Kluyveromyces lactis: one gene and its partner. The protein of the gene in region 2 purifies or fractionates together with the protein of the main gene of each other region. This does not show direct contact. Links are inferred from orthologs where the notes say so. Each region holds a gene or a part of one and is shown on either strand. Other genes may lie near its edges.

The links.
Region 1: the proteins of PFK2 (region 2) and SIS1 purify together in Saccharomyces cerevisiae (affinity purification with mass spectrometry; 3 studies listed by BioGRID). This does not show direct contact. The link is inferred for Kluyveromyces lactis from reciprocal best matches to the Saccharomyces cerevisiae genes PFK2 and SIS1.

What each region holds. Positions count from the first base shown.
Region 1 is NC_006040.1:407,625-417,478, forward strand, and holds SIS1 (type II HSP40 co-chaperone SIS1), read right to left. Parts: upstream 5,056-9,854; coding exon 3,991-5,055; downstream 1-3,990. Other genes in the region: KLLA0_D04774g (uncharacterized protein), read left to right, coding at 1-1,222; pseudouridine synthase CBF5, read left to right, coding at 1,681-3,105; TOR complex subunit LST8, read left to right, coding at 5,738-6,649; RFX1 (Rfx1p), read right to left, coding at 7,248-9,707. UniProt on the Saccharomyces cerevisiae protein: Required for nuclear migration during mitosis. It is required for the normal initiation of translation. Might mediate the dissociation of a specific protein complex of the translation machinery. Essential for viability.
Region 2 is NC_006042.1:601,147-612,308, reverse strand, and holds PFK2 (6-phosphofructokinase subunit beta), read right to left. Parts: upstream 3,630-11,162; coding exon 813-3,629; downstream 1-812. Other genes in the region: INP1 (Inp1p), read right to left, coding at 1-413; lactoylglutathione lyase GLO1, read right to left, coding at 4,316-5,332; DEAH-box RNA-dependent ATPase PRP2, read right to left, coding at 6,687-9,320; uridine kinase URK1, read left to right, coding at 9,579-10,958. UniProt on the Saccharomyces cerevisiae protein: Catalyzes the phosphorylation of D-fructose 6-phosphate to fructose 1,6-bisphosphate by ATP, the first committing step of glycolysis.

The DNA of each region.
Region 1 (9,854 bases), on a different chromosome or scaffold from region 2:
AATGCAAACCGAAATGATTCTAAAATTGGAACATAATGCCGAAATGAACGAACTTACAGAGAGATGTGAGTTCTATACCGAGAATTGCTCTTTGTTAGAGAGAGAAAATGAATCTTTGAAGGCAGTTGCCAGTGCATATCGTCAATTACAGGACATTGTCACGGAAAAAAACATTATAATAAGCTCATTGGAGGTAGAAAATCGTTCTTTGAAAAAGCAAGTGGAGACAAAGGCAAAGGATTTGGAGCTTTTGTCAGTGAAGCATGAAAGGGAAATTGCTAAATTAAAAGATCTCTCAAAGGCTGAAAGAGGCAGAATTTTAAAGGTTTGGGACAGAACAGACTACGAGAAGGCATTGGATTCAAAAGAAGAGGAAATCGTTAAGTTAAACCACCGTATCAGTCTATTGGATCTGATAATAGACAACAAGGTGACAGAAATAAAAAATAATGAGAGCAGATACAGGGGACTTGAGACAAAAGTTGCAATTTTAAGTAATGAAAACATAGTTTTAAAGTCAAAACATGACGAGGTTATCAAAAAGAAGAAGGAAGACCTTGCATTTTTCAATGAGAAGTTTCAAAAAAGGTTGTTAGCGATGAAACGTGAAATAGATAAAAATGCTGACATGTATCATAATGAACTACAAAGCTACAGGACTAATTACGAGAAAACTTTAAGTAGTGCCTTAAAAGTTACTCTTAAAGCAGAATCTGCGCTTAGTGCCATATACAGCAATAATGTGGATAGATTCGGGTCTACAAACCGGACTTTGAATTATTTTATGAAGAAAAGAGATATGTTCCAAAATATCAGAGACAATATGGTCTCCAACAAGCCCAAACCAGAATACAAACCTGCGATCACCATTACAAGTGTTAGTGATGGCATAGAAAATAAAGACAATAGAAACGAAGAGTTACACTACATATCAGAACAAAAACAAGGTTTTAATGATTCACTCCGTGAGCTTAAAGTAGCCAATGTGAATAGCAACTGTTCCTCAAGGTCGAAACACAACGCTAAACAAATTATACAAAAGCTCCGAGAGTGGAAGCAAAACCAAAACACATCAGAGCTATCGCCAGACAAAGAAGATTCCATATTTTCAACTGGAATTGAGACAGATTATTCAACTTCAAATATCGCACAGTTATCCACTAGGAACTGGGCTAGCGCTTTGAAGAACAACTATAACGCCAAGTACTTGGAATCTATCTGAATGAAAACAGCGTACTAAGTTAACAGAATTTAACCTAACATAATGAACATATTAGCAGCTAGTTTAGTCCATTAAATAAAAATGCAAACTCACTTCCTAGAAGGCTATAAAAACTACTCTCACTTGGCAATGCTATTTCCAATGTCTGTCATATATACTTAAACGTCAAGGTGAATATAATTCATTACCCGGAAATAATTGCTTTTTGAGATATCTGAAAATTTTCTACCTGAAGAAAAAAATTTGATGAAGACGATGAGATGAGATGAGCTTTAACAAGAAAAGTATAGAGTTCTATTAGAAGTAGATTCATCTTACTGGACTAAAAACTGTCACTTTAGTGTAGATTCTGCTTTACGATATTGTTGCTACTATCCTTTTATTGTTTTCTCTCGATATTTGAAGGAGATAGTGTACTGGATTGTTCGTTAGAAAGCTAATAAGTAAGATAGAGATCGATGTCTGACGAATTTGTTATTAAGCCAGAGAGTGTTTCACCATCTAGTAACACTAGTGAGTGGCCTTTATTGTTGAAGGACTATGACAAACTATTAGTCAGAAGTGGTCATTACACACCAATTCCAGCTGGTGCCTCTCCTTTGAAGAGAGATTTGAAGTCATATATCAGTTCTGGTGTCATCAATTTGGACAAACCTTCAAACCCATCTTCTCACGAAGTTGTTGCTTGGATCAAGCGTATCTTGCGTTGCGAAAAAACAGGTCATTCTGGTACTTTAGATCCTAAAGTCACTGGTTGTTTGATCGTCTGTGTTGACAGAGCTACCAGATTGGTCAAGTCTCAACAAGGTGCTGGTAAAGAGTATGTTTGTATCGTTAGATTGCACGATGCCCTTAAGGACGAGAAGGAATTGGGCAGAGGTTTAGAAAATTTGACTGGTGCTTTGTTCCAAAGACCTCCTTTAATTTCTGCTGTTAAGCGTCAATTACGTGTCCGTACCATTTATGACTCCAACTTGATCGAATTTGACAACAAGAGGAACTTGGGTGTTTTCTGGGCTTCCTGTGAAGCTGGTACTTATATGAGAACTTTATGTGTCCATCTTGGTATGCTTTTAGGTGTCGGTGGCCATATGCAAGAGTTGCGTCGTGTTAGATCCGGTGCTTTGTCCGAAAACGATAACTTGGTCACCCTACATGATGTTATGGATGCACAATGGGTATACGATAACACCAGGGATGAATCCTACCTAAGAAAGATCATTCAACCATTAGAAACTCTATTAGTCGGTTACAAAAGAATTGTTGTCAAAGATTCTGCTGTTAACGCTGTTTGTTACGGTGCCAAGTTGATGATTCCAGGTCTACTTCGTTATGAGGAAGGTATTGAATTATATGACGAAGTTGTATTAATCACCACCAAGGGTGAGGCCATTGCAGTTGCCATTGCTCAAATGTCTACTGTCGATTTAGCTACTTGTGACCACGGAGTTGTTGCCAAGGTTAAGAGATGTATCATGGAAAGAGACCTATATCCAAGAAGATGGGGTCTTGGTCCAATTGCCCAAAAGAAAAAACAAATGAAGGCTGACGGTAAGCTAGACAAATATGGCCGTGCCAACGAAAATACTCCAGAGACCTGGAAGAAGACTTACGTTTCATTGGAGAATGCTGAACCAACTACCGCCCCTGCATCCAAATCAGAAGAAAAACCACTGATCAAAGAAGTAGAAAAGAAGGAAGTCGAACAGAAGGAAGAATCAAAGGAAGAATCAAAGACACCAGAAGAAAAGAAGGACAAGAAGGAAAAGAAGGAGAAGAAGGACAAGAAGGAGAAAAAGGAAAAGAAGGAGAAGAAGGAGAAGAAGAGAAAGGCTGACGATGATGAGTCTTCCGAGAAGAAGAAGAAGAAGTCAAAGAAATAAACGACTACAATCTAAGTCCTTCATATCATCGATCGAAATTTCAAAACTGCATAGAGTTTATCATTTAGGTTATGTACACTGTAGAATATTTTTAATCATTGAAAAACGTATTTCGTCACGACTGTTTTTTGTACCCTGTGTCGATGTTGTATATCATTGTATTCGTATATATAAATTTGTAAATTATTTATGCGCGTGTGAAGACACCATTACGTCTTCAATTGAAGTAATGGCAAAAAGTAATGGTAAATGTATGAGGTAGATAGAAGATTTGATAATAATACTTGGAGTTTTTTTTTTTTTGGCAGACATCAATTGTTCGGAACCAAATAGAAGTCGGGAAACTTGCAGATTGGTATGTCTTTTATTTGCATGATGTCATTTGCTCAATAAAAAGGTAAATGAAGGTTAAAATCTATGCAAATGGTTACATTGTGAACAGAAGTCGAGGTGTCACAATGAAACGTCCCGTTTCTTACTTTACCAGTATTAACAATCATTGAATAATTCTCCTTGTATTCTCTCGCATATTATATTGCGTCCTCAACTTATGTTGCGTGCTTCATTTACCGAAGGATATTTTTTTGAAAATAGTGTACAGTGTGGTCAGAAAGTTAACGCATTAATCGACAGACAATGTAGCCATACGATAAGATTGCTTCTGCTGAAGTGAATGTGAATGGAACATTTGAATTGGAAATAATTAATGGGAGTAAACATTTAAAGAAATGAAAACATATGACATAGAACCATAATGGTGGGAAGATAATATTTCTGGCAGACGTTGAATTGTAAACATGATCACCGTCAGAAGTCTAAATTTGCAATCGTCATGTCATACTTTTATGATTTATTTTCGTTATAAAGACATTCTTCATCTTTCATTCAGAAGTTATCCATAATGGCTTGTCTTTGTTGAGGTGTTAAAGAGGTTGGATAATCGATCTTGAACTTAATAATCAAATCACCTCTTTGGGAAGGATTCTTTGACAGTGTCATACCTTGTCCGGGATATGTTGAGGTTTGAGTAGGTTGAATTGGCTGCGTTCTTGTGATTGGAATTGTTTTACCGTCGATGGTTTGTACTTGCTTGGAGAAACCTAGAAGAGATTCTTTGAAAGAAAGTGGTAAAGTGTAAATCAAATCATTGTCTTGTCTGGTGAAAAATTCGTGTGGTTTTTCCTGTAGAACGAATTGTAATGTTTGTCTACCACCAGTTCTTGGATTATAGTCACCTTCACCTTTGAAAGTAATCTTGGTACCTGCTTTCCAACCTGGTTTCAATTGGATGTCAATTTGGTTCTTTTCGGACACACCACCGGCGCCTTTTCTTGTGATCTTGAATGATTTCTTCTTACCGCTGAATAAATCTTCTAAGGACACAGGTAGATTGACCTGAACAACTTCTTCTTCAGGTCTAGCCTGTTGTCTACTGAATCCACCTGGCATTCCACCTGGCATTCCACCTGGCATACCGCCTGGCATGCCGCCCGAAGAGGAATGGAAACTACTGCCTCCAAACCCGAAATCATCACCAGACCCGCCGCTAGCAGAGAATCCAAATGGAGAAGCACCTCCGGCAGCACCTCCTCCACCAAAGAACTGTGAAAAGATGTTGAAAGCGTCATCTTGTGAGAACGCATGTCCCCCGGCAAACCCACCAGAAGAAAATCCTCCAGGCCCACCAGGCCCACCAGGCCCTCCCGCTCCTCCAAATTGAGGAGCATTACCACGAGCAGCCTCTAGACCATAAGTATCGTAAACTTCCCTCTTCTGAGCATCTGAAAGAATCTCAAAAGCCTCAGAGATTTCTTTAAACTTCTCAGTGTCACCTGTAGGCTTATCTGGATGATACTTCAAGGCAGCCTTTCTGTACCCTTTTTTAATCTCGGCTTCACCTGCACTAGGCGAAATTCCTAGCAAATCATATAATTTAGTGTCCTTAACCATACTCCTACGACGTTTCAAATTTGGTAATTGTCCTTTTGTATATATGTCGAATGATAGTTCAAATTAGCTCTATCTAAACTAGAAGAATTAGAGTAAACTAAAAGAATCAGTTAATGTTTACACTGTTTCGAGATACCAATGGGACAAAAGATGCAATAAAACTCTTCTCTAAACATGTCGATCGAATACCAACGACCAATAATCTTTGAACGAAAAACATCCTGTTCTTTGAAAACCTTTATATAACATTTCATTCCTATATATTCAGGTTCAGTTCTGTTGCAACCGATCATGTTCTTTCAGAGTATACCCTGGAACCTTCTAGAAGTAAAAAAACATGAATGCTTTAAGCACGCGAGATTCATGTGACAATCACGTGATATAGAAGTTTCCCACCAATACAAATCTGTCATCACAAAGCCGCAAATCAGGTGTCATTCAATGACATTAGCCACTACACAATCTTGTGGCTATCTCTATGCCTCCACTTTTGTTTCAATTGCTGTTGTTTATATCTCAATCATGAATATTGACAAATTATGGTTTAATGTGATAAAGAATATGCAATATACTAGATGAAAGAAAGTCTTAAGGAATCTGAGGAGTTTTCAAGGCTTTTTCTCCCCTGTGAACAAGGTAGAGGTTTCTTATTGTGTACGGTCAGACTAACTTCAATATTGCCATGTCTGTTATTCTAGCGAGTGCTGGATACGACCACACAATTAGGTTCTGGGAAGCTTTGACTGGAGTCTGTTCACGAACCATTCAACATGCAGATTCCCAAGTGAATCGATTAGAGATTACGTCCGATAAGAAATATTTGGCTGCTGCTGGTCATTTACACGTCCGTCTTTATGATATACGGTCGAATAATCCAAATCCGGTGTCCTCTTTCGAAGGCCATAAAGGGAACGTAACGTCGATTGCATTTCAACAGGAAAATCGATGGATGGTATCGTCTAGTGAAGATGGGACTATTAAGGTTTGGGATGTACGGTCCCCATCTGTGCAAAGGAATTACAAGCATAATGCACCTGTCAATGAAGTAGCGATACATCCGAACCAAGGGGAATTGATTTCCTGCGATCAGGATGGGAATATCAGGATTTGGGATCTTGGTGAAAACCAGTGCACAAACCAGCTGACACCAGAAGATAACACGCCATTACAGTCGTTGTCCGTTGCAAGCGACGGATCGATGCTTGTTGCAGGAAATAACAAAGGGAACTGTTATGTATGGAAGATGCCTCATCACACGGATGCTTCCACTTTGGAGCCCGTAACTAAATTCAAATCGCATACTAAATATATTACCAGGGTCCTACTATCGGCGGATGTAAAACATTTAGCAACATGTTCAGCAGACCATACAGCTAGAGTATGGAATATAGAGGATAATTTTGAACTTGAAACCACTTTAGATGGTCATCAGAGATGGGTGTGGGATTGTGCGTTTTCAGCAGACAGTGCATACCTAGTCACAGCATGCTCTGATCATTATGTAAGATTATGGGACCTTTCCACAAGTGAAATTGTAAGGCAGTATGGAGGACATCACAAAGGTGCTGTTTGTGTTGCTCTTAACGATGTATGAAACTTTAATCAATATCTCTAAAGAAGGGATATGCGACATAGCATTTTATTGTGGTTTCGTTGATGTAGTAATTTAATAAAAAGATCAAAACTATGGATATCAAAACTCTTATTTACTTTCAACACTTAGATATATATAAAGATGACCTGCGATGATACTGGAAAGTTTCGCCAGGATCAGAAGTTGGTTGTGGCATTCGTTTTGGAGCTCACTTGAGTCGTCGAATGAATTGACAGGTCCAAAAACAATAGTACAATTAATGATCATGAAAAGGAAAAGAGCAGAACGACAATTACCACGTAAATGCAAGAATGGGTATGGTAATAGATACAAAATTAATGGGAAGATTAGGAATGGTTCAATTAGATGGGAAAACAAGTCCAATTTTCGTTTTTTTATTCGTTTCTGAATAGAATAATAGATTAAAGGAATAGAAACGATAACGAATGGTAATAAAGGCAGGTAAATCGAATTTAAACAAGAAAAACAAAAACAAAACAACGAATAGGAGATGGAGTAGGTTTAAAGAGTAATATTCTTAGTGGGAAAGGTAACTTTAGCGTAGAAAAACAATCTATCAAAATTAAAGTTCAGAGGTTCAATCTTTGAGGAATCCTCCAACTTCGGCATACCAAAAGATCCATTCATCTAGAAAGGCCTTGAACATCCACCACAATCCAAAATTTTCGTTTGAGTTCGTTAATATTTCTTTCGTACAAGCAGCGGTGAAAGAATTGAAAGTCAATACTAGTAATCTAGGAGGTAGACTCTTGTTTGAAAGCACTCCGAAAACCATTTTAACGAAAGAGATTAGATCAAAATCCTCATCCGTTTTCTTAAGAAGTTCCAATAACTGCACTGAAAAGAGTTCTTGCATATCTTTTTCTAAAGCAGGGTGGTTGAAGTAAGAAAACTCTTGGTTTATTAGTTCGGACACTTTAACGTTCTGTTCCCAGACGTATAACATTGATAATCTATTCTCTTGCTTACTCATGATATTTGATAATTTCTTGCTGTTGTCAATCACTTTCACGAGCCTTTTCACAAGACGGCAAAACGCCTGTGCCACACTCTTTTTGAAGGTTACCATCGGTAATGGTAAATCCATGGTAGATTGCTCAACCATCTTCATATACTCATTTGAAAAGTCTGACAATTTGTTGAACACAACCTCTGGAATTTCGTTGAAGTCAACAATCAAACTCGAAAGCATCTTGGTCAGAGCCTTGTGAGTAAGTAGGTCTGATTGATGAACCCATCTGTACAATTCTTCAGAAATAAACAAGTTGTACATTTTTGATGATATTGAACTCGATGAAAATGATTGCAATGTTAATGGAAGATCATCAAACTTCATGAACCGTATATTTTCAAACAAAGTATTACAATAAACTTGGTATAGGGAGTTAACACTGGAAGCAATATCAGGATCAACTGACTGATTTACCGGTAAAAACTTTTGCAAGTCTGGAAATTCAATAGGTAGTTCCACTTTGGCTTCTGATGTTACTGCGAAGAAATCTGGTAGTAAAGCGTATCCTTCATCATAACACGTATTAAAACTTGTTTCAGCCGATAATACCGGTTTAACACCAGCATCATGTCCTTGAATATTTCCTGTCACGTCCAATGAAATATCTTCGGATAACTGGTTTAATGGATCACTTACCGAAGATTGTTTCCCCAACATGGCATTTGGCTGTATGGATTTTATTCCATTGCTATGATCGGATTGTGAGTCTATAGAATGCTGAGAATCACCCTCATACTTCAAAGATATTGAATTTTCATTATTTGAATGACTTGAAGTTGTCCCACTGGTAGACAACATTGCACTTGACGTGTCACTATTCGACGACCCTGTCGGTGTTAAATCTGAAGAAGTAGCGAAAGGAGAAACAAGCTTGAGTCCACAGTAATGGTACTTTGATTGTCCTCTCATACCCAATCTTCTTGTTTTCAAGAATGGGAACAAGGCTCTGATCAATTTACCAAGAGTGGCCTGAGATAAGGGTTTCAACTGGTTTTGAGCACAAGACGCCGCGTATTGGGCAAAAATCCTACCGCGGCGGACGTAAGATTCAGTGTCTGTCACACAGTTGCTCATTAGCCATATTAAGGCATACACTTGCCTCTCGCGTTCTCTGTGCTGTTCTGCCGATTGAATTTCAGATTTGGCATGCGTAGAGGTATCCATGTTGAGTACTTGGATTTCAGCATTTCTAACTACAGAAGCATATTCGCTCAAGGGCTTATCTTTGTTCTTCATTGCTACTAATTTTAAGATATTCTCCTGGGTTGTTCTTTTCGAAGTCACAGCAGCACCCGTCCGTACAGGCTGCATAGCTTCGTCAACTTTCTGTTTTTTCCAGCGTTGGTCTTGGTCTTGTAAAATGAACTGTTGCTGTTGCTGCTGTTGTTGATGTTGATGTTGTTGATGTTGATGTTGTTGATGTTGATGTTGTTGATGTTGTTGATGTTGTTGATGTTGTTGATGTTGTTGATGTTGTTGATGTTGTTGATGTTGTTGATGTTGTTGATGTTGCTGATGCTGCTGCTGCTGCTGCTGTAGATGCATATCTTGCATATGTTGATAATGCAGGACTTGGTTCGGAAGTGCAGAAACAACTCCGTTAGGTGATATTACTGACAGAGGAGTGATTGATCTCATCATATTTTGTTGCTGGTGCTGCTGGTGCTGTTGTTGGTGACCTTGAGAAGTTTGAGGACTTGACTGCCCACCTGCTAATTGGTGATCGTTGATGGGAGGTAGTGGATTAGGTAAGAAACCCTGAGTGAATTGCATATTTGAGGAAGTAGAGCCATTACCATTATTGACAGTAGTACCATTGTGTAAATGTGCCATAGCGGCTGGAGGAGGAGGGTATAACGAATGTTGCAGTATATGTTGTAATTGGGCGGTCGAATTAGATGAGGAAAGATTTATGTTTGATTGGGAAGATTCTGGTCTTGGAATCATAGGGGAATTAGCTGAAGCTGAAGCTAATTGCAATAGAGTATTATGGTGATTAACCCACTGGTCCTGTTGAGACGACATCGAACCCTCAATTGTAATCTCAATTTTAGTTTTGATTCTTACTCACACTCCGCACTGAGATGATGTATATTCTATCGTCACTCTTTAGGTAAGTAATACTTTATTTTTTTGATTCTCAATATGTACACAGTAAGGAATGACTTCCAA
Region 2 (11,162 bases):
TCCGGATTGAATAGGGAAATGATGATTTTAAATTCTTGTTTTTGATCCGACGGTACCCTTCCAACCTTTAGTTTCGGCAGAATTGGATGCACAAACTGATCTTTTTTACCTAAACTCAAGTAATTCATCCGTTCTTTCGAGTTTCCCATATCTATTTCATATATTTCGAAGCTAGTCTTGCTCAGTATTACATTGATGTTTTTTGGATTATCGGACGGCCAACTTCGCACCTTCACATAGTCATGACGGAACAAAGTTGTCCTCTGTACAGATTTCCTTTTAGTGTTATCAGTTCTTACCTGAGGATTCCAGGGTTGCAGTTGTGGTGGCTGTCCCTTATTTCGCAGAAACGAATTCTTCAGTGATTGGAAAGGGCCGGAAGATTTCTTCTTTGGTGATCCCATAATGGCCATCTTTGAAAAAGGTAAAGCTAAGAGTAATGCTTTCTAATACAATCAAATGTACAGTGCTCCAGATGGTTGCTTCACTCAATATACCTATTATATCCTGTTTCGACTATAGTCTTTTGGTGAATTCACTTGTTTACGTTGACTACGTATGTAATAGCATGTTATTTTTTTATTTATTTATTGTTTTTTTAAGCACCGCATCGATCAGTATAAAAATGAGTAACTAGGGTAGGAAGGACTCTTTCCAGAGAAAAGGGATTATAAATTGATACCAGGAGGTGAGTAGTAACTAGATATGTCATAAATGTTAATCGTTTGTCATTGAGAGTTATAAATGCAGTTTACATAATAATATACATCCATTTCAGTGGGAATTTTGAGGAAGCAGATACGTTTTTAATTTCATAGCTTTTTTCTTCCTACAAGATGGTCCGCAATGGTTCTAGTCGATTGCCAGTGAATAGTCTTTGGGGTTCTCTTGTTCAATTCAGTTTCAAAATCGTACAATTGTCTGATTGAACTAAAGACAATGTCAGATCCCTTAACACCTAAGACTGATGCAGTTGCTATGATCTTTGGTGTATCAAAGTCGAAGTCGTCATCATCCAGATTTGCCTCAGCTGCTAATACCTTGTGTTGAGACTCAATGAAACCAACAGCTCTGATGGCGAATCTAGTACCCCTTGTTCTATCAATTGGAGAAGGTAGACCACCTTGTTGGACATGACCTGGGATGGCACATTTGGCATCGAAGTGACCTTCAGCTTCTTGAGTAATGACCTCAGCCAACACTTCAGGAGTAAGCACCTTAGAGGCATTGGTGGACTTCAAGATAAGTTGTCCGAATTTACCTCTACCTTCAGCTTCGCTGAATGATTCCGTCAAGTTTTCAATATCTTGCGTTAGTTGCTCCAAACTTATACCTTCTTCTGGGACATAGGAAACTTGGGCACCCACAGCAACAGCGGCATGTGTGGCTAGATACCCAGAGTTACCACCTTGAACATCAACAACAAAAACTCTACCACGGGTTGATGCAGCAGATTGCTTGATAATATCACAGTATTGCATCAAAGAGTTCAGAGCGGTATCCGAACCGAGGGAGTACTCGGTACCCGGAACATTGTTGGATAAAGTGGCTGGAATCAAAACCATTGGGATTCTGAAGGCTGTATAGTTCTCTCTTGCTCTTTCCAATTGATGCAAGGAGACAAACGCTTCAAAACCACCGACAATGATGATACCATCGAATCCATACTTTTGGAAATAGTAAGCAATCAAACCGATATCAGCTTCTTCAGGAGTATGTCTGTTGGTACCGATTTCAGAACCACCGCGGGATTGCCATCCCAAAAGATCCTTCCAGTTTAGAGATCTCACGGATTCGTGTCTAGTTAACCCAGTCCAACCATTGTAAATTGCATATGGTTTGTGACCTTGAGACATACAGTACGTAGCCATCGAATAAACTGCAGAGTTCATACCACCAGCTGGGGCACCGACATTGACAATAGCAATCTTCATATGGGTGTGTTCTGGTAACTTAGGTTCGATATGGTCAGCAGAATTGATTGCCATGAAATTATCCAAATGCTCAACAAATTCCGAATCTCTCAATTGCATAGCCTTTTTGAAATCCTTGGAATGGATTGCTTCCGCAACAGATTTGGTTAGTTGAACTGATTCAACCAAAGGCTTACGAGTGATCTTGTTCTCATTGATAGCGATCAAAGGAGAAGGGGTATCTGGAGTTGATTCCAAAACTGCATTGACAGCTTCCACACCTTGCAATGTTGCAAGAATACGGTCATAAGCAACGGCTGTACCACCTCTCTGGACATGTCCTAGTGTAGTAATTCTACAATCTAGACCCAATCTGTCCACTAAGACTTTATGAACGTCCTTAGATGAGATAGGAGTTAAGTCTGCTGAAATGGCACCTTCAGCAACAATAACGATAGTTGTTCTCTTACCTCTTGACCTATGCTTTGAAATGATATCACACATTTGATCTTGCCATTCTCTTGATGATGCAGGTTTCTCTGGAATCAAGATGTAATCAGCTGATGTAGAGATACCAGCCAATAAAGCTAACCAACCACAATTTCTACCCATAACTTCCACCACAAAGGCTCTGGAATGGGAGTTAGCGGTGGCCTCAATGTAATCAATTGCTTGACAGATACGATCCAATGCCGAGTAGGCACCAATGGTAGCATCTGTAGTAGACATATCATTATCGATGGATCCAACAGTACCACAAATATTCAAGTGCTGGTACCTATCGAATTGAACTTTGTTAATTCTTCCTTGATCTAAGAGTTCACGAATCAAAGAAGGCCATTCAGATCTGAATAAATCAGCACCAGTGAGGGAACCGTCACCACCACACACGATCAAAGCGTCGACACCAGCTTCGATTAAGTGAAGAGCACCAAGTAACCTTCCCTCTCTCTCTCTAAATTCTTTACAACGAGCAGTACCAATGTTGGTACCACCTTCGCAAGACCAGTTACGTACTGTTTCCCAGTAAACCTGCTTGATATAATTTGGACCACCTTTTACAAGACCTTCGTAACCTTCCATGACTACGAAGGCATTACAACCCTTGAAAATAGCTGTTCTAACAATAGCTCTCACATTTGCGTTCATACCTGGCGCATCACCACCGGATGTCATAACGGCGATGGACTTTTGCGCTTTCGCAGTCTTTGGAATCGCTGGATACGAGCTGTCAGTGGAAACACCAGAAGAAGCAATGTCTATTCTTGAAGATCTTGAGGAGATCAAAGAGGCCTCAACAGATTGCTTAGGCAGCGTAGGTTTGATAGAAATAGCATTTTTCGTTTCAGTGATACCAATGATATATCCGTTTGGATCCTTCAAATATATTTCAATTGGGTTGGTTTCGTTAGGATAGGCCTGAATCGTTTCACCAGCAGCCAAATCTCTGAAATGTTGGATATTTGTACATGAAAAAACCAATGCTGATGACACAATGGCCCTCCAATCTTTATCGTTAACAACATCCAATGGCTTGAAGCTGTTATCAACAACTAGCTTTAGAGTGATTAAAGAATTTGTCAATGTGCCAACTCGCTTGTCATGAACTAATTGCAAATACTTTTCGTAAAACTTGACTGTCTTATCATACAACCCTTGAGTCGTAACTAATTTGTACGCTTCCGTACCGTTCAACAATGGCAAAGATTGTGTCATTGCAGTTTATTATTACTTGTATCAATATTTTCCTTTTTGTAATCGTTTGATTCTCGCTTAAAAGTTTGAAAACGTGCAGAGACCTAAATATACGTCTTTATCAACTTGATCCTCTTGCAAATTCTTCTGCTAACCTTGTTACGAGGAAACTGGTTACAAGTTTCGCTATACGCAGATTATTACTGATTAATGCAGTAACTTGTTTACTGGTTTGCAAGTCAGTAGAAGCAGAAGCACGAATCAGAAATTATTCCTCTGTCCAAGCTTACAAAGTAGTTTTCATTTATACTAAATAGTCAAAAGTTCAATATCCTTTTCCCTTCCTTTAATGTGGATTGCATGATGATGGGTTTCGTGAGCATGTAGGATCACGAGCTTCCACTTTTCGGAGCACCACCAAAATTGGAATCCGGAAAATAACGAACCACTTATCTTACAGGAATCTCTGAAGTTAGTGGATGCTGCATGTTTGCTGCGTAATGAAAAATTAAAAAAAAAAAAATGTGAAGAGTTATATTAATCTCAGTCACGTGCTTTCATGTCACTTCAAAAGGATATCTTTATCAGTATTACCGGCAGTTATGGCTGTAATATGGCGATTGAACGGTGTCATATCGAATATTGTATACAACGATACATAAATTTGCATTTACATTTCAAATAAATAGATGAGAGTTTGGTGCTCTTCAAACGCCCAATCCGTATGGGACGACTTCGATGGAGTATCCATCAGGGTCCTTGATGAAGGCGAGATTCTTCATTTTACCTTGATTGAACTTTGGAGACCATTGGATATCTGGGTATAGTTTCTCAATTTCTGCGCACAACGTAGCTGGATCCTTGTTTGAGATGCAGATGTGGCCGTACCCCTGTGGTTCAGTATTACCGGTGTGATAAGCGAAATCTGGATCATTTTCTGTCCCCCAGTTATGTGTCAACTCCAAGATACTTTCTCTTGAACCACGAGCAATTCCTTTTTGATCATTTTCGTAGCCTAAGAAGTATAGCGTGAATTTAGCATTTGAATGGTCACTAACGTCAAGGATTTTCATTCCTAGGACGTTTTGATAGAATTCAAGGGATTTGATTGGATCCTTGACTCTTACCATGGTATGGTTGAACTTGTAGTTGTTCCCCTCTCCAGATTCGTTGTTTTGAATCAATTCAATCCAGTACCCATTAGGATCTAATGCGAAAGCAATATTCCTTTGGCTACCGTCTGTCAATCTCTTCTTGAACTTGACGCCATTGGATTCCAATCTTTCACATTCAGCTTCTAGGTTAGAGACACTGAAGCAAATATGACCAAACCCACGGTGTGGTTCTTCATTACCGTTGTTCACCTTGTATGCTGGATCAGATTCAGTACCATAATTGTGGGTCAATTCCAAAATACCGTTTTCTCTAAAGACGTCAATGGCACCTTGAGAGTTGTTCGAAAACTGCTTATTAGGGAATGATAAGAAGTATAAATCAAACTTCATGTCAGGGAATTTCTTGTGATCTAATAGCTTCATACCAAATTGTTCCTGGTAGAACGCAACAGTGACCTTTGGATCCTTTACCCTGAAACATGTGTGGTTTAGCTTTAAGCTCTGGTCCGCTTGCGCAGACTCAACAATTTTTGGATAATATTTGGCAGTAGTTTCGGTACTCATTGGTCGTATATGCTTGAGGATGTTGAGTAATCTTTCCTTGAACATGTAGGTGGAACTACTACGTTTGGGATGAATTGATGGCTAGCCAATGGTAAAAAGGCATCTCAAGGTAACTCCTGTTAATATACAAAATTGGCTGGTCGCAAAATCCTATTTATTTTGCTATACAACGAGAAATCATTAATTTTTCAGTTTCTTTTCAATGAAAACATAACCTGACTGATGCAAAAGTGACGGTTAATAGTGCAGAGGATTTGCCATATTTAGCTTTGGATCCGATAGATAAGTGATCTGCCGTGACGCACATGAGCTTGTTATACGGAAAGGTGAGACCTTTGTTTTCTTAAAGCTTTTGCGTAGAACCCCAAATGATACGACACATTCCAGTTCCTTCATTGCAATCGACAGGATGCAGCATTCTGATTGCATTCGAGCCCCTACTCATTATCATAGTGGTATCTCACTTTGTATCTTTTCTCACTCTTTTCTAATGAAAAAATACTCACTCAACTTTAAGCTTTACTAAAGTCTAACTGATATTTCTTCTTTTAATAAATACAAGAGTATTTATTTGGCGAAACAGTTTAAACTATATACCGAAAAGAATAACTAAGTTGATTATCTTGTCAAATTAGAACGGCTTGATAAAGACTGGATGTACTTTTGATATATCTCAGTATATTTTCCCTTCTGTTCAGCTGAATGTTGAAGGTGTTGTAGAATGTAGATATCAGTATCCACAGCGGTGGAAGATAGCTGGAAACTGAACAAAGATAAATACAGATTCAAAGCGACATATTCCAATTTTCTAATATTTAGAAGAGTAGTCAGAAACTTTGCTTTGCGACTCTCGCAAAATAAACCTAAAACTGAACAAACTGGGTTTTTGTACTGTTTTTTCTGAGAACTGTATCATTATGCATGATTTTCATACGATAGGAACGCTTCCTGCAGAAAACTTCAGGCAACAGACTCATTTTTTACCCGCCTTTAGCGTTCAACGCACTAGTTATACTTGGAGGTAAGTCACATCGTTGTAATAATTATCTTTTAGTGTGGTTTGTGTTAAAGTGTGATTTAATGCTTATCGTGTTCAATTTAAACTTTCACTGAATTTCAGGAATTCTTTATTGAATAACTATCCATAAATCGCATTATCTCAATCCCTTAGAATACAGAAGAAGAAAGTACAAAAAATCTATACTAACACCTGAATCGGAAGCTAGCAAATTGTTGAACATTAGAAGTAATTAGAAAAATAACTGATTTGATTTCGATTATTCTACAATTGGTTTTTCAGAACATAGGTGGACTCGCCAACAATTTGGCGTGATGTTCTGAAAAGCTTCTTAGAAAATGTTGCATATGTTACTCCTCAATTAACTGGGGATACAAAGATTCATTTATAAATATGTGGCATAGTTTCAGTGAGCCATTCGTATTTATCAAATGTTATACAATCTCTAATGAATTCTTTACTTGTAAGCATCAAAGATTGATAGAGGATGTATTTCATTGGTTTTCCTTCTTGTTTCATTCGGTTGAAAATAACACTAGATGGGTGAACGCTGACGGATAAATCTTGCTTTATGTTAGTATAGCCTTGTTTAGAGAGCTTTGCTATATTTGTTGGAAATCCTGATATAAAGCATTTAATGATTTTTGCTTCAATGACGGAACGAGGCATGTTTTCTTTGAGTTGAGTAAGGTTTTGGTCATGCTTAAGCAGAAAATCTTGTTTCCTACAATATTTCCATAATTGTTGTCGTATCCTCAATACTCGTTTCATTGTTTTATGTTGCAACTTGAAATCTTGACACCATCTTCGTGAGTATCCATTCTCTTCCCATTGTTCATATATCCACAAGTATAGCATGTGGTCACTTGACTGCATCAATGACCCAAAAAGTTTTGTCTTTTCTTCCGAATTGAGTCCCGGTACAAATATAGAGTTGCTCTCTTGAAGCATAGAGACAATCGTAACAATTTCAGGTAGAACACCATTACAGCTTTCTTCAAACACGCTAGAATATATTACCTTGGCATATTCAGGATCACATGGGAAATCACACATAACTTGTCCTACTTTTGTGATTGCACCTCTGCTATTGAGAGCGCCAATGGCATACAAATTTTCGAGGGCTTCGCTTAGCTGGATAGTTTTTGGTTTGTCCAACATTGGAAAGTGAAGTAAGTCGTTGATACCTAGTGAAAGCAAAAGTAGAACCACTTGATTCAATTTTGTTCTCAAAATCTCTGGCTTTGGTACTTTTTCAAGCTCATTGTAGTAAGACCATTTTGTAAATAATCTAAAACATTTGCCTGGACCCAATCTCCCTGCTCTCCCTGCTCTCTGGTCAACAGATGCCCTAGAACATGGAACTGTCACTAGCTTTGAAACTCCTCCTGAATAGGATTGTTCCTTCACAAAACCTGGATCTACCACGAACTTTATGCCGTCAATTGTTAACGATGTCTCTGCAATATTTGTCGCAAGCACTACTTTTCTGCAGTTCTTCGGTGTAGGTTCAAAAATTTTGGATTGTTGTTCTTGAGGAAGATTGGCATATATAGGTACTACCAAGAGATCTGGAAATTTTGTATTATCAAGCTTGGAAAGAATCTCAAGTAATTTTGTTTGCATCGATTCTATTTCCTCTTGACCAGTTAGAAATACCAAAATATCACCTGGTAATTTTTGGGTGGTATGAATTTGAAAGATGGTGGTGATCGCAGCATTTATATAGTTTCCTTCTGGTTGAAGTGTATAGTGAATATCCACAGGAAAGCGTCTACCAGGAACATTAAATATCGGACAATCAAAGAAGAACTTGGAGAATTTAGTAGCATTCATAGTTGCACTAGAAATTATAAGTCGAAGATCTTTTCTGTCTTGTAAAATACCCCTTAGCAACCCCAACAAAATATCTGTAGATAACGTGCGCTCGTGAGCCTCGTCAATCATTATTGCACTATACGATGATAGTTGTGGGTCATTAAGAAATTCTCGAAGTAACATCCCATCTGTCGTATATTTTAAGATTGTTTTATCAGGCGTTGTTCGGTCATCAAATCTGATATTATAACCGACTTCTTTCCCCAATATTACATCCATTTCATCAGCAACTCTTGAAGCAATACTAGTTGCAGCAACTCTACGTGGTTGTGTGCAAACCACGCATTTTCCATCGTTGGTGTAACCATCCTCCACAAGGAACTGTGGAAGTTGGGTGGTTTTCCCAGACCCCGTTTCACCAACAACAATCAAAATTTGATGTTGCCGAATACTATCCAAAATTTCTTGTCTATATTGATAAACTGGCAATGACTTCCTCGTTTCTTTAATACTCTTCATCTTGTTAATTTGTTCTTCTAACGCTTCAGCCAATCTACCGTCTTCAACAGGTTCTAAAATATCTGTCGTATCATCAGTAAAATCAATCATGGACTCAGGATCAAAAACAAATTCGTAATTATCTGAATCCTTAACTTTGATTTCATCTGCATCTGCCTTAATTACACTTTTCTTCATTTGCTCCTCTTCCCAGTTCACCCTATCGGTTTTGTTTCGAAGTTTGGCGGTCAATAGTTGTTTCTTTGATGCGACCTCATCTTGCATTTTGAATCCACTTGTATCTCCATTTTCAGCATAGTCTTTTCCAGTTTCATTTAAGAGCTTCAATAGCTCTCTTTTCAGCGATATCTCTTCTCGTTCACTAACAGTTAAGTTATTCCAACCATAACGTTTTATGTCATCTTCTAAAATCTGAAGATCTTTAACCAGCCAGTGCAACTGAGAACGCTGTCTCTTAGTCAAAACTTTTTGCTCAACCATTGACTTAATCGAGTTAACCGAATAATGAGCCTTACCATCCTTCAATGAAGGGTCCGGGCTACTGTCCAAAACTTGATCTGCAGGTGAGAATGAGTTAGTATTTGCATTTACCGATTCTATGCTTTCATAAGTTCTCTTCGCTCTGCGCTGTCCTGATCCCGTAAGTTTAGTACCATTTTCATCACCTGAGGTTCCCATAGTATGAACTGCGATTCGGTATGCTGCGAGAGCGTTCTACCTGATTTCGTAGCGCTTATTTCTTCTTCTTCCCTCACCTTTAGTTTCTAATCGTGAAAGGTACATCGAGTGGCTTTCTTGCAATATCAAATGTTGAAAACTATGCCAAATGACTGATAGAAACCTTCCAGATAAACATTATCTGAATCAGAAAACAGACATAGACAGTTCCAGGCATAGGACATTTAGTGTTCATAAAACGCTTGCAAGGCGTCCAGAATGAACTCTTCTGGCTATATACCACCTTGGACAACACCGTATGTTATTGGTATTGGAGGGAGTTCAGGTTCTGGAAAGACGAGTGTTGCTACCAAACTCGTGACAAGAATCAACACTCCATGGACAGTATTAATATCGTTGGACAATTTCTATAAACCGTTAACCGTCGAAGAACGAAAGCAGGCTTTCGAAAATAACTACGATTTCGATAAACCGGATTCAATAGATTTGGATCTAGCTTATCAATGTATCCTGTCTTTGAAAGAAGGTAAGAAGGTGAAAATCCCAACCTATTCGTTCACAGATCATGATAGAATTCCAAATAAGTTTTTAACCATCTATGGTGCGAGTGTTATTGTTATTGAAGGAATTTACGCATTATATGACCAAAGACTTCTTGATTTAATGGATTTGAAGGTTTACGTGGATGCAGATTTAGATATATGTTTAGCTAGAAGATTGACAAGGGATATCATCTCTCGTGGGAGAGACTTGCATGGTTGCATAAGACAATGGGAGAAGTTTGTTAAACCAAATGCGGATAGGTTCGTGAAACCAACCATGAAGGCAGCAGATGCAATCATCCCATCCATGTCAGATAACAGCATTGCGACTGAGATGTTACTTAATCACATTCAGTCTAAATTGCAGCTCAAATCGCAGCAGCATTTAGCAGAACTTCAAAAGCTCGAGTCATACGCTGTGTCGATTGATTCTTTAAATATAATTCATAAGTTGAGACAAACTAATCAGGTGAAGGCTCTACAGACTATATTGTTAGACAAAAGCGTTTCAAGAGATGACTGGGTATTCTATTTTGACAGGTTAGCAACAATACTTTTATCCTTTGCATTGGACGATATACCTACGAAATTGAAAACGACTAAAGTTATTACGCCGACAGGAAAACAGTTGGATAATCCAGTTTTTGTTGACTTTGACCGTGTCACAGCTATAAATATTGTTAGATCTGGCGACTGTTTCATGAGATCTCTAAGAAAGACAATTCCTAGCGTCGCAGTTGGTAAGCTACTTATTCAATCCGATTCCAGAACAGGGGAACCACAATTGCACAGTTTATTTATTCCACCAATGATCGAAAATTATAACCAAGTGCTACTGATGGATGCGCAGATAATTTCAGGTGCAGCGATAATCATGGCAATCCAAGTTCTTACTGACCACAATGTTGATCTCAAGAAGATTAAGGTTGTAGTTTATCTAGCGACAGAAACCGGTATTAGAAGGATAGTTAATGCTACTAATAATCAAGTTGAAATATACGCTGGAGAAATTATTTCCGATGACAAAATCAGAACTAATCAATGTAATTGGGCCAGAAAGCGGTTCGTTGCCTCAAATTACTTTGGGTGCAAGTAGTCCTTCCTGTTTTGTTGTTTTTTTTTAATTTGTAATGCATAACTAATATTTTCCCCTAAGTATCTGCAATTGTAGTAGTTTCAAATTCTTACCAGTTATCGACTGTCATTGAAAGGAACTAAGGAAGTGTAAGGGTTTACGGCTTTACCAGTAATAGAATGAAGCCAAATATAAGAACATACTAAATATTAAAAAAAGAAAATT